2 linked regions of the Oryctolagus cuniculus genome follow. The protein of the gene in region 2 purifies or fractionates together with the protein of the main gene of each other region. This does not show direct contact. Links are inferred from orthologs where the notes say so. Each region holds a gene or a part of one and is shown on either strand. Other genes may lie near its edges.

Region 1 (4,799 bases), on a different chromosome or scaffold from region 2:
GCATTTAATTCCCATGCAGGACCTCTGTCCACAATGAGTTAACTGTAAAACTGTTCTCAGTCTTTGTGAGTGTGTGCATGCACACAAATTGTTAAAATCTTTACTTGGTATAGAGTTGGTCTTCTGTGTATAAAGTTAATTGAAAATGAATCTTGGCTGGTGCCGCGGCTCACTAGGCTAATCCTCCGCCTTGCGGCGCCGGCACCCTGGGTTCTAGTCCCGGTCGGGGCACGGGATTCTGTCCCAGTTGCCCCTTTTCCAGGCCAGCTCTCTGCTGTGGCCTGGGAGTGCAGTGGAGGATGGCCCAAGTGCTTGGGCCCTGCACCCCACAGGAGACCAGGATAAGCACTTGGCTCCTGCCTTCAGATCAGCGCAGTGCACTGGCTGCAGCGCGCCGGCCATGACGGCCATTGGAGGGTGAACCAACGGCAAAGGAAGACCTTTCTCTCTCTCTCTCTCTCTCACTGTCCACTCTGCCTGTCAAAAAAAAAAAAAAAAAAAAAAAAAAAAAAACAACGAATCTTAATAGATAATGGGACTAGGAATGGGAGAGGAAGGAGGAGGAGGAGTGGGAGTAGGGGTGGGAAGGATGGGTATGGTTGGTAGAATCACTATATTCCTAAAGTTGTACTTAGGAAATTTACATCCATTAAATAAAAGGTTTCTCTGGGAGGGGAAAACAAAAAAACAATTGTGGGTTTACTTGGTTCTGGACTCTGAATTCTTTCTCACTGATCTATGTATCTTTCCTTATGTGAGTACTACACAATGGACTTGATATCTGTAGCAAGCTTTAACATTGGAAATTATTAATTCTTTTTCAGGATTTTTTGTCTATTTTGGAGTCTTTGTATTTCCATATGAATTTTAGAATCAGCTTATCAATTTCTGCCAGAAAACCAGCTGGGATTTTAATGGAGATTGCACTGAACATATGGATCAATTTGGGGAATATTATTATCTTAAAAATACTTAGTCTTCTGGGGGCCGGCACTGTGGCTTACTTGGTTAATCCTCCTCCTGTGGCACTGGCATCCCATATGGGTGCCGGGTTCTAGTCCCAGTTGTTCCTCTTCCAGTCCAGCTCTCTGCTGTGGCCCGGGAGTGCAGTGGAGGATGGCCCAAGTGCTTGGGCCCCTGCACCCGCATGGGAGACCAGGAGGAAGCACCTGGCTCCTGGTTTCAGATTGGCGTAGTGCTGGCCGTAGCGGCCATTTGGGGAGTGAACCAACGTAAGGAAGACCTTTCTCTCTGTCTCTCCTTCTCACTGTCTATAACTCTACCTGTCAAATAGAAAAAAAATACTTAGTCTTCCAATCTGTTAACATGGACTGTCTTTTTATGTATTCACATCTTTCTTTGATGTTTTGTTGTTGCTATTGTACATGTTTAACTACTTTTGTTAAACTTATTCCTAAGTATTTTATTCTTGTTGATTTAATTTTTGAATGGAATTGTCTTGTTAATAGCATTCCTGGATTCTTCCAGTGACTTTTTAACACAGTGATATTTATTCTTTGTTACTTGATTTTTTTTTCCCTCTCAAAGATCCATCAATCTTACATAGTTCTGTGAGTAAAAAGAAATCTGACTCTACCACTTGCCACTTAGTCAGAGACACAAACAAGTTGGGAATTGGCCATGATACTGCAGAATCATCTCCACTCCTTGTCAAAGATGTCGTTTGTGAAGATGATAAAGGAAAAATCATGGAGGAAGTAATGAGGACTTATGTAAAACAACAGGAAAAACTGAACTCAATTTTGCAAAAGAAGCAACAACTTCAGATGGTAAAGTTGTTATTTAAATGATAATTCATTATGAAAAGATACTTTTGCACATTCTCAGAGGAGTCAAGATATGTTGCAAATATATGTTAGATTGTTCAGTTTCACACTGATAGGCAATTTTAATACATTTATAGAGAAGATATTTTTCAATATAACTGTTGATATATAGAACTAATACGAATTTTATATATTTTCTGACTTATTTTTTCCTGAACTAAAAGTTTTTTTGTTTTTTTTTTTTTGAAATTTTTAACCTGATGGAAATAAAATTGTATTGTGATTCTGTACTTACAGGAAGTGGAAATGTTGAGTAGTTCAAAAGCTATGAGGGAACTCACTGAAGAACAACAGAATCTGCAGAAAGAACTTGAATCTTTGCAGACTGAACATGCTCAAAGAATGGAAGAATTTTATGTTGAACAGAAGGACTTAGAGAAAAAATTAGAGCAGGTAATGAAGCAAAAATGTACATGTGACTCAAATTTGGAAAAAGACAAAGAGGCTGAATATGCAGCACAGGTAAGAATTACTCAGTTTGTATAATGTGCCCTTTCAACATGAATGGAAAGTGTTACTGCTCTGTTAAAGAAATTACTTTTTGTCAAGCTCATTCACTAGGCTAGATTTCAATGTAGATAATTCTGTTAAACACAATTTTATGCTAGATTGTCTATGATGATTTTTTGACTTTTATTGGTTTATTACTTTAAAGTTTATTGGATTTCTATAATTTATTTACTTAAATTGTAAATCTAGCTCTCTGATGATCAAATATTATTTTAATAATATATGCTTTCAAATCAACATATTAACAAATAACTGTTGCCTACTCTATTCAAAAGCACTGAAGCAAAAATAAATAAGTAAATCCTTTATGTTAATAGTTGCTCACATTTGAGGGAAGATGTACAAATATTAGCTTGAACAGGTTGTAACAAGGATCTAGTAATGCACAGAAAATAATTAAAGTGCTGTAGGTGTTTTAGGTGTTTATTCCTCTTGATCCTTTGCTTTACCTTCAATTTAATGTCATGTTGAATGTCAAGGTAATAGTATTAGATACTTAAAAGACTGTGGTATGCATGAAATAGTTTGTTTTGTAAAACATAATGTGAAAGTAGGTCTTTGCTGTGGTATAAGATTAAATGGAAAAACAAAACTAAATGAATATTGACACAGCCTTTTAAATCACACAGCTAGCAGAACTGAGACAGAGACTGGACCACGCTGAAGCTGATAGGCAAGAACTCCAAGATGAACTCAGACAGGAGCGGGAGGCAAGACAGAAGTTAGAGATGATGATAAAAGAGTTAAAGCTGCAAATTTTGAAGTCATCCAAGGCTGCTAAAGAATAGGAACTGTTAAAGAGATCATCTGTGTATACTGACAGGGTTTTTTTGTTTATTGCTTGCTTTGGTAATAGAATTCTGAACAACTTATCCGCATGACAATAGCTAGGCATTCTACCCATTTGTAGATCAAAGAAAGTGAAGAGATTATATATTAGTACATAAATTTTTACATTTTCCAAATGAATGAAAATGTAGGTTTCTTTGTATTTTTTTTTCAGCTTAGTAACAATATAGGATTTCAAGTAGTAGATAACCTGCCTATATTTCTAATGTGAATTTAACAGTTGTATACTTTTTAAAAGCTGCATTATGTGATGGGAAATAGCTGTGGTCAATTTTGTTATCCATATTTCAGACTCAATTTTAGATATAATGGTGGCATTATATTTCAAATATATACTATAGAACTATTCAAGGAGTTGAATCTGCATTTTTCTTATTAACACAATCTCCTTTATAAGTGATATATATACTCATTATTATACACAGACATTAGCTTTTACTTTGTTCAGATTGTGGAATGAATTTCTTCAATCCTCAGTTCTCTTTTAAATGTCTCCTAAGAGGAATTTCATTAATGAAGGAATAGCATAACCCATGGGTGTCATTGGAAAGAGTAAGATGTTTTGTTACGCATTGCTGCTAAATGTAAGAAGCAGTTGTAATTTGTTTTTCAGGTTTAATGTGGTTATATTTAGAAATTTTTTACGCTGTATCTTCAGAAAAATAATGATTTCTGAACTTTTGTTTATGTTGTTAATAGTGGTGTGAAAATAATAATGTTGAGAAGAATTGGTGTCATTGATGTACATCAGTTTCTATAGAATCCACAGTCCTTCTGTACAGGTTTTGTATGTAGCTATGGGTTGGAATGAAATTTATATAATGGATTTGTTTTCCTTTAAATTGTAAAATATTAAACATATTGAAGGTTATTTTGGACTTTTGTATGTTAAATGTTAAGTCTTACCAAAAATTTGCACGAATGGACCATTTTCAATTACTACTTAATATCAAAATCAGGAATTTACAGTCAACTGATAGTGTATGATAGCTTTGTATAGGAGTTTAATTATCTGCTACTAAAATTTTTAGATAATTTTTAGTTTACAAAAGAATTCCATAGTTTGGGAAGAGGCAACATCTTCTGTACTTTTTTTTTTTTGCACAGAAAAGTCTGTCACTCTTTAAAAGCAAATTTCCTGTTAATTCTTGGCTTAAAAGATAATAGAAAAAAAATTGTTAGTATGCAGTTTTTTAAAGGAAAGTTTCCTGAAACCACCAGTAGTTGACATTATTAACCCCATGAATTTTGTTTTTCATGCTTTCTGACAAGGTTCTGTATGAAATTATTACAAGTGAACTAGAATGAAAGTTGTGTGCTATGTCCATTGTAGAAGGCAGGTACTCTAATGTTGGTAGAACTTAAAAAAAAAAAAAAATCACATAGCTTATCATTAACCAGTTATTTTCAGATTGTTCTTAATGGTACTCATATATCCCAAAAGAATTTCTATAGTTCCTAAAAGGGAACTTTACTAAACAGAGTATGATCTAAATGTGTATTTTCTACTTTTCATTTCAATTTTTACTATATTTACCCTGTAATTTAATTTATTGATTCTTGGAATCTCAAGATGGAACAAATGTTGAAAAT
Region 2 (5,389 bases):
GATTATCATTATTATTTTTTTGACAGGCAGAGTGGACAGTGAGAGAGAGAGACAGAGAGAAAGGTCTTCCTTTTGCTGCTGGTTCACCCTCCAATGGCCGCCGCGGCCGGCGCACCGCGCTGATCGGAAGGCAGGAGCCAGGTTCTTCTCCTGGTCTCCCATGGGGTGCAGGGCCCAAGCACTTGGGCCATCCTCCACCGCACTCCCGGGCCATAGGGCCATAGCAGAGAGCTGGCCTGGAAGCACCGGGACAGAATCCGGCGCCCCGACCGGAACTAGAACCTGGTGTGCCGGCACCGCTAGGTGGAGGATTAGCCTAGTGAGCCGCGGCGCCGGCCTTTCCATTAGATTATCATAAACTGAAATAATTAAAATATCAGAGATGACACTTTGCAACTATTTGAGAGGCAAGAGAGAGAGAGACAGCAGGCAAGGATGTGCAAGTTCCCACCTGAAGGTTCACTTCCCAAATGCCTGCAATATCCAGGACTGCACTGGGTCAAAGCCAAGCGCCAGGAACCCAATCACCTGAGCTATCTCCACTGCCTCCCAGCATCTGCAGTAGCAGAAAGCTGGAGTTAGGAGACTCAAATCCAGTTATCTGATACGAGGGCTTTGTGTATCTTAAACAGTATCTTCACCACCAGGCTACATGCCCATTCCTTTGCAATTATTTAAACTTCTTTTAAAATCAAATTACAATGCTTGATGGGAAATAGTTTTCCAAAATTCTTTTAGAGAACAAAAGCTAGCTCCTTTAATAATTTTCCTCATCTCTCACTACTCTCTGCTCAAGCCACTCCATCCAAGTTGATACGTTGCTGTTCTGATAAGCTAAGGATACGTTTGCCTCATGCCCTTTGCACTATTTGTTCCTCTACTTTGAACACTGTTCTGCAAGAGAGACTCCTTCATCTTATCAACAGGCCTCCCTCAATCTCTATTTTGCTCCAGTTGCTTTTTCTTCCTGGCATTTACCTCGCATGTTATCAGGGTACTTAAAATTTAAGTTCATGGAAAATGAAACTGCGACAGTTTAGTGCAAAAAATTTCCAATCCACACATGGTTTTCTCATAATACACATTTCTCAAGAGCTTTCTGAAGTACCCTCGTTTATTCCAAACCTTGCACCATTAGCTCGTGAACTCTTTTAAAGGCAGGGAGAGCCTCTTTTGCTCTCTGCTGTAATCGCAGGGTATCTAAAACACTGACACCTAATAGAGGCGAGTCTTCTGGAGTGAGTAAATAAACAAGGCTTGCACATGGTTTAGGGACTTAGACCAGCTCAAGAGATAAAGACCAAAGAAGTGCAAGCGTCTCACGCCCAAACAGCCACTGCTCTGCAGAAACACTTGTTTCCCAAATAAAAGGCCAACCCTTTCTGAAAGCTTCTACCTGGAGGGCATTTGTCACCGGGCTCACCCAGGACACTAAGTGGGACTCTCAGAGGCCACCACACTGGAGGTGAGATCTTGGCTCCGCAACCTGAGGCGCATCAGAATCAGCCCTCTGCCCCACTTCCGGACTCTGGGCTGAGGTGTGGCTTTTCAAAAAGCTCCTGAGGTGACCGGTTTTCGGCTACGTAGCAACGTCCCGGAATCACACTAAGTAGTGGAAATTAGCCGCACAGTGAGTCTCTTCCTCACCGGGTCTTTTCAGCCTATTTCTGGTAGACCTCCGGTTAAAAAAACCAAAGACTCGGCTTACTGCTCCCCTGAGCCACAAACAGCAGAAGGTGCCTCGCACAGCACCAAGAACCGCGAGGCCCTGGCGTCCGATCACGCTGCAGAAGCTTCGGAGGAGACGCTCGCTGGGGCAGCCACAGCCGCGGCCTCCGACCCGTCCAGCTTAGTCCGCCCCTCGTTCCGCACCACAGCTGAGGCCAAACTCAGCAGCACGATCCGCCAAAGGCCGACAGGTTGCCACGGCCTCTGGCTTTTAAAGGCTAGCGCCTGTTGCGCTAAAGGTCCGCGGCACTGACGCAACGCCCCAGCCCCAGACGTCTGGACGAGCGTCGCGGACGACTCCGCGCCCGCGCCCGCGCCCCGAGTTCCCGCCTCCCTCCAGAGGACGTCCGTGCGTACGTGCGCGCGCCGCGCCCGCCCTCTTCAGCCGCGCGACGCGAGGGCGGGGGCGCCGCGTGCGCGCGCGCTCTCGTTGGTTCGCTCGCCTGCTCGCTCTCGGCGGCCGTTCTCGCTGCGGCTGGGGCTGGGGGCGGCGGCGGCGGCGACGCGGGCGGCGGGCGGCGCGGGGCGGTCCGGCGGGTTCAAAGAGGAAAACATGGCGGAAAACAAAGGCGGCGGCGAGGCTGAGAGCGGCGGCGGGGGCAGCGGCAGCGCGCCGGTAACTGCCGGGGCCGCCGGGCCCGCGGCGCAGGAGGCGGAGCCGCCTCTCGCCGCGGTGCTGGTGGAGGAGGAGGAGGAGGAAGGCAGCAGGGCCGGCGCGGAGGGCGGCGCGGCCGGGCCCGACGACGGGGGGGTGGCCGCGGCCTCCTCGGGCTCGGCTCAGGCTGCCTCGGCTCCTGCAGCCTCAGTGGGCTCTGGAGCTCCCGGGGGGACCGTATCGACGCCGGCCCCAGCTCCAGCCTCAGCCCCTGCTCCGGGTCCCTCGGCGGGGCCGCCTCTTGGACCGCCAGCCTCGCTTCTGGACACCTGCGCCGTGTGTCAGCAGAGCCTGCAGAGCCGGCGTGAGGCGGAGCCCAAGCTGCTGCCCTGTCTTCACTCCTTCTGCCTGCGCTGCCTGCCGGAGCCGGAGCGCCAGCTCAGCGTGCCCATCCCGGGGGGCAGCAACGGCGACATCCAGCAAGGTGAGCCGGAGGCCCGGCCCGACGTCTGGGCCGCGGGGCATTTGCGGAGCCCAGGAGGATCTGGGGACCGAAGTGCTGGGGCTCGGGGCTGCCCGGACCTGCGCGATCCTGAGGGGTGGGCGAAGTGAAAGACACGGCCCCTGGGACAGTTTCCAGAGAAGCTGGACCGCGAGAGATAAGGAGGGGGATGAAGGGAGGGAGCCGGCTGTGAGACGGGGTTGGGGGGAGGGGACACAGCGAAGGAGGTTTGGGATGTGCAAGCTGGACCCGGACAGCAGAGCCAGCGTTCAGGGTGGACGGGCGCCCGGCCCGGGAGAGGTGGTGGTGGTGGTGGAGTAGGTAAAGAGAGGAGGGCTGTGAGGATGGATTGCACTGGAGGGAGGGGACGTGGCCCGTTGCCCGGTTTGGAGCAAAGAGGACTGCGGTTTAAATGCAAGCGGCTAAAAGACGTTGGGAAACTTGGAGCCAAGAGAAGGCTCTTGATGGAAAAGAATTTTAAGATGGCATTGGGAAGGAGCATCTCAGGAGATGAGAATAGCAGTGAGGGACCTGCATGGTTAGGGACAAGAGTAAGGTTTGGGGATGAGCAGAAATGAACTTGGACTGAGATTGAGGGTCAGATAGAGCTGGGCATGCATTTGTTTCAGTTCATTGTACATTAAGGAACCCCTAGCGTTCTGGGTGCTGCTGGGACTGGATGTGATGCTGGCTTAGGACCCCCTTCCCAGTCTTAACAGGGGAAACTGTAGCCTGCAGCAGTGGAGGTGGGCGCTCACTATCATGGCTGTGGCGAAATGGAGGGAAAGTCAGGGAAACTTCCCAGGAAAGGAAGGCCTGGAGCAGGTTTCCTGAAGGGTGATTGCCTGCCTCACTGGGTGGAGGGGATCGAGGGTACAAGGTGCGTCCACCTTGTGCAAGACCTCTGGTGGACAGTAGATTGCATTGATCAGCTGCGTGGATAAGGAGTTCCACATCCTTTTCCAGCAACTCTTGGGACAAGATGTGTTTTGGACTTCAGAATACAGTATTTGGGAATTTTTCTTGGTAAGGTCTTTTATGTACTATGTCTTTTATGTAGTACTCCAGCAGTGGTGGGATTCTGGAATAACAGTTCATTATTGAGCACTTGAAAGTTTCTTCATTGAATCACACGAATATCACAATAACGTGGTGGACTTTGTTGTAAACATGTGACAGAAGTGAAGTTTCTAAGCAGGTATGCAAATTTGGCACAGTACTGAGGGGTTGGGATGTGTCCTGTGCAGTGTCTCCTGTACAAGGCGTTCCCAAAGGACTTCTCTATCCAAAGGGTAAAGTCAGATTTGTGATCTACAAAGATCACCTGAAGTCGTTGAGAGATGAAAGAATGCAGGGAGGCCAGTTAGGGGAACCTTGGCAGCAACCTAGATTGGAAATTGTCATTTGGATTGGGTAGGAGAGGTCTGATGCCAGGCATTACAGAAGGAAGCATTTTGATGTCAGGGAGACATCAAAATGAGTTCAGGTGTCTTCTTCGCCACTTTCTACTTAGAACTTGGACAGATTAACTTTTCTTCACCTCAGTTTTCTCATTTGTGAACAGGGACAAAAAGTATATTGCTCATGGGATTATTGAGAAAATGAAGTGAAATAAGATATGTAAAGTGACTCATATACAGTAGTTACTAGTGAAATGGCTGCTAGTTTATTGTTAGTAATGGAGATGGAGGGGCTAACTGAGATTGGTGTGTAGACCGAGTTCTAGGTTTCTTGTTTGCTGACAGTGCTGTTAGTGCAAGCAAAGAATTCAGGCACAGAAGCAGGTGTCTGTAGTGGAGAGAGGATATAATACCTTCACTTCTGGGTTTGAGCTGTTATTGGGACATGCAGATAAGAATGTTAAGAAAAAAGATCTGTGTTTAATGGAGGAGACACTAAGTGGTAATAGGTGTAGAGAGGATAGCTGGTCGTGGTCCCATGAGCATAATAAGACACGTGGGATTCAGTGTCCTTGTGGGAACCTGGATTAGGTGAGCAATTTAGAGGGAACTCAAGATGCAAATTGTGTTGGTTGAGGAACTGAGGTTATGAAATTGGCTTTCTGAAATTTATGTATGAGAGAATATAGTCCCATACGTTCTCTTCATTTCTCCACCTTTGTTTTTGAGCTGGGAGAAGAAGTAAGTGGAAAGGACTAAATACTGTTGTTCTTAAGTGATGTTGATTTCTAGCCAGTATCTAAAACAATCTGGAAACTACCATGTTTTTAGGTAGGAAGTCTAGAAAATAATTTGTCAGTATGAACTCCTGTGTGTATCCTTTGCTTTGCTCTTGAAAAAAGGAGAGCAAGCTCTGTGGAAAGAACTCTGGGTTGGATGGAGTTAGTGGTCGTAGTTTTGCCACCTAATTGTTTAACAGAGGCTCATACTGTTTCCCTAACTTTGTCTCTCAGATGTAGCTAGTAGTTATTCACAATCACTTACTAAGTCAAATTAAAAATGAATGTGAAAATGCTTTGTTTGTAACTGTGAAATGCTTCAAAAATGCATTATTGAAGGTATTATTGAATAATAATCTGTGATCTGAAGAACCAAAGCTGGTGG

The links.
Region 1: the proteins of TRIM33 (region 2) and SKIL purify together in Homo sapiens (affinity purification with western blotting; 4 studies listed by BioGRID and IntAct, with this or other methods). This does not show direct contact. The link is inferred for Oryctolagus cuniculus from reciprocal best matches to the Homo sapiens genes TRIM33 and SKIL.

Annotation. Positions count from the first base shown.
Region 1 is NC_091435.1:109,896,525-109,901,323, reverse strand, and holds part of SKIL (ski-like protein), read left to right. Parts: intron 1-1,548; coding exon 1,549-1,790; intron 1,791-2,084; coding exon 2,085-2,309; intron 2,310-2,986; coding exon 2,987-3,145; 3' UTR 3,146-4,799. UniProt on the Homo sapiens protein: May have regulatory role in cell division or differentiation in response to extracellular signals.
Region 2 is NC_091438.1:55,851,302-55,856,690, forward strand, and holds the start of TRIM33 (E3 ubiquitin-protein ligase TRIM33), read left to right. Parts: upstream 1-2,166; 5' UTR 2,167-2,281; coding exon 2,282-2,807; intron 2,808-5,389. UniProt on the Homo sapiens protein: Acts as an E3 ubiquitin-protein ligase. Promotes SMAD4 ubiquitination, nuclear exclusion and degradation via the ubiquitin proteasome pathway. According to PubMed:16751102, does not promote a decrease in the level of endogenous SMAD4.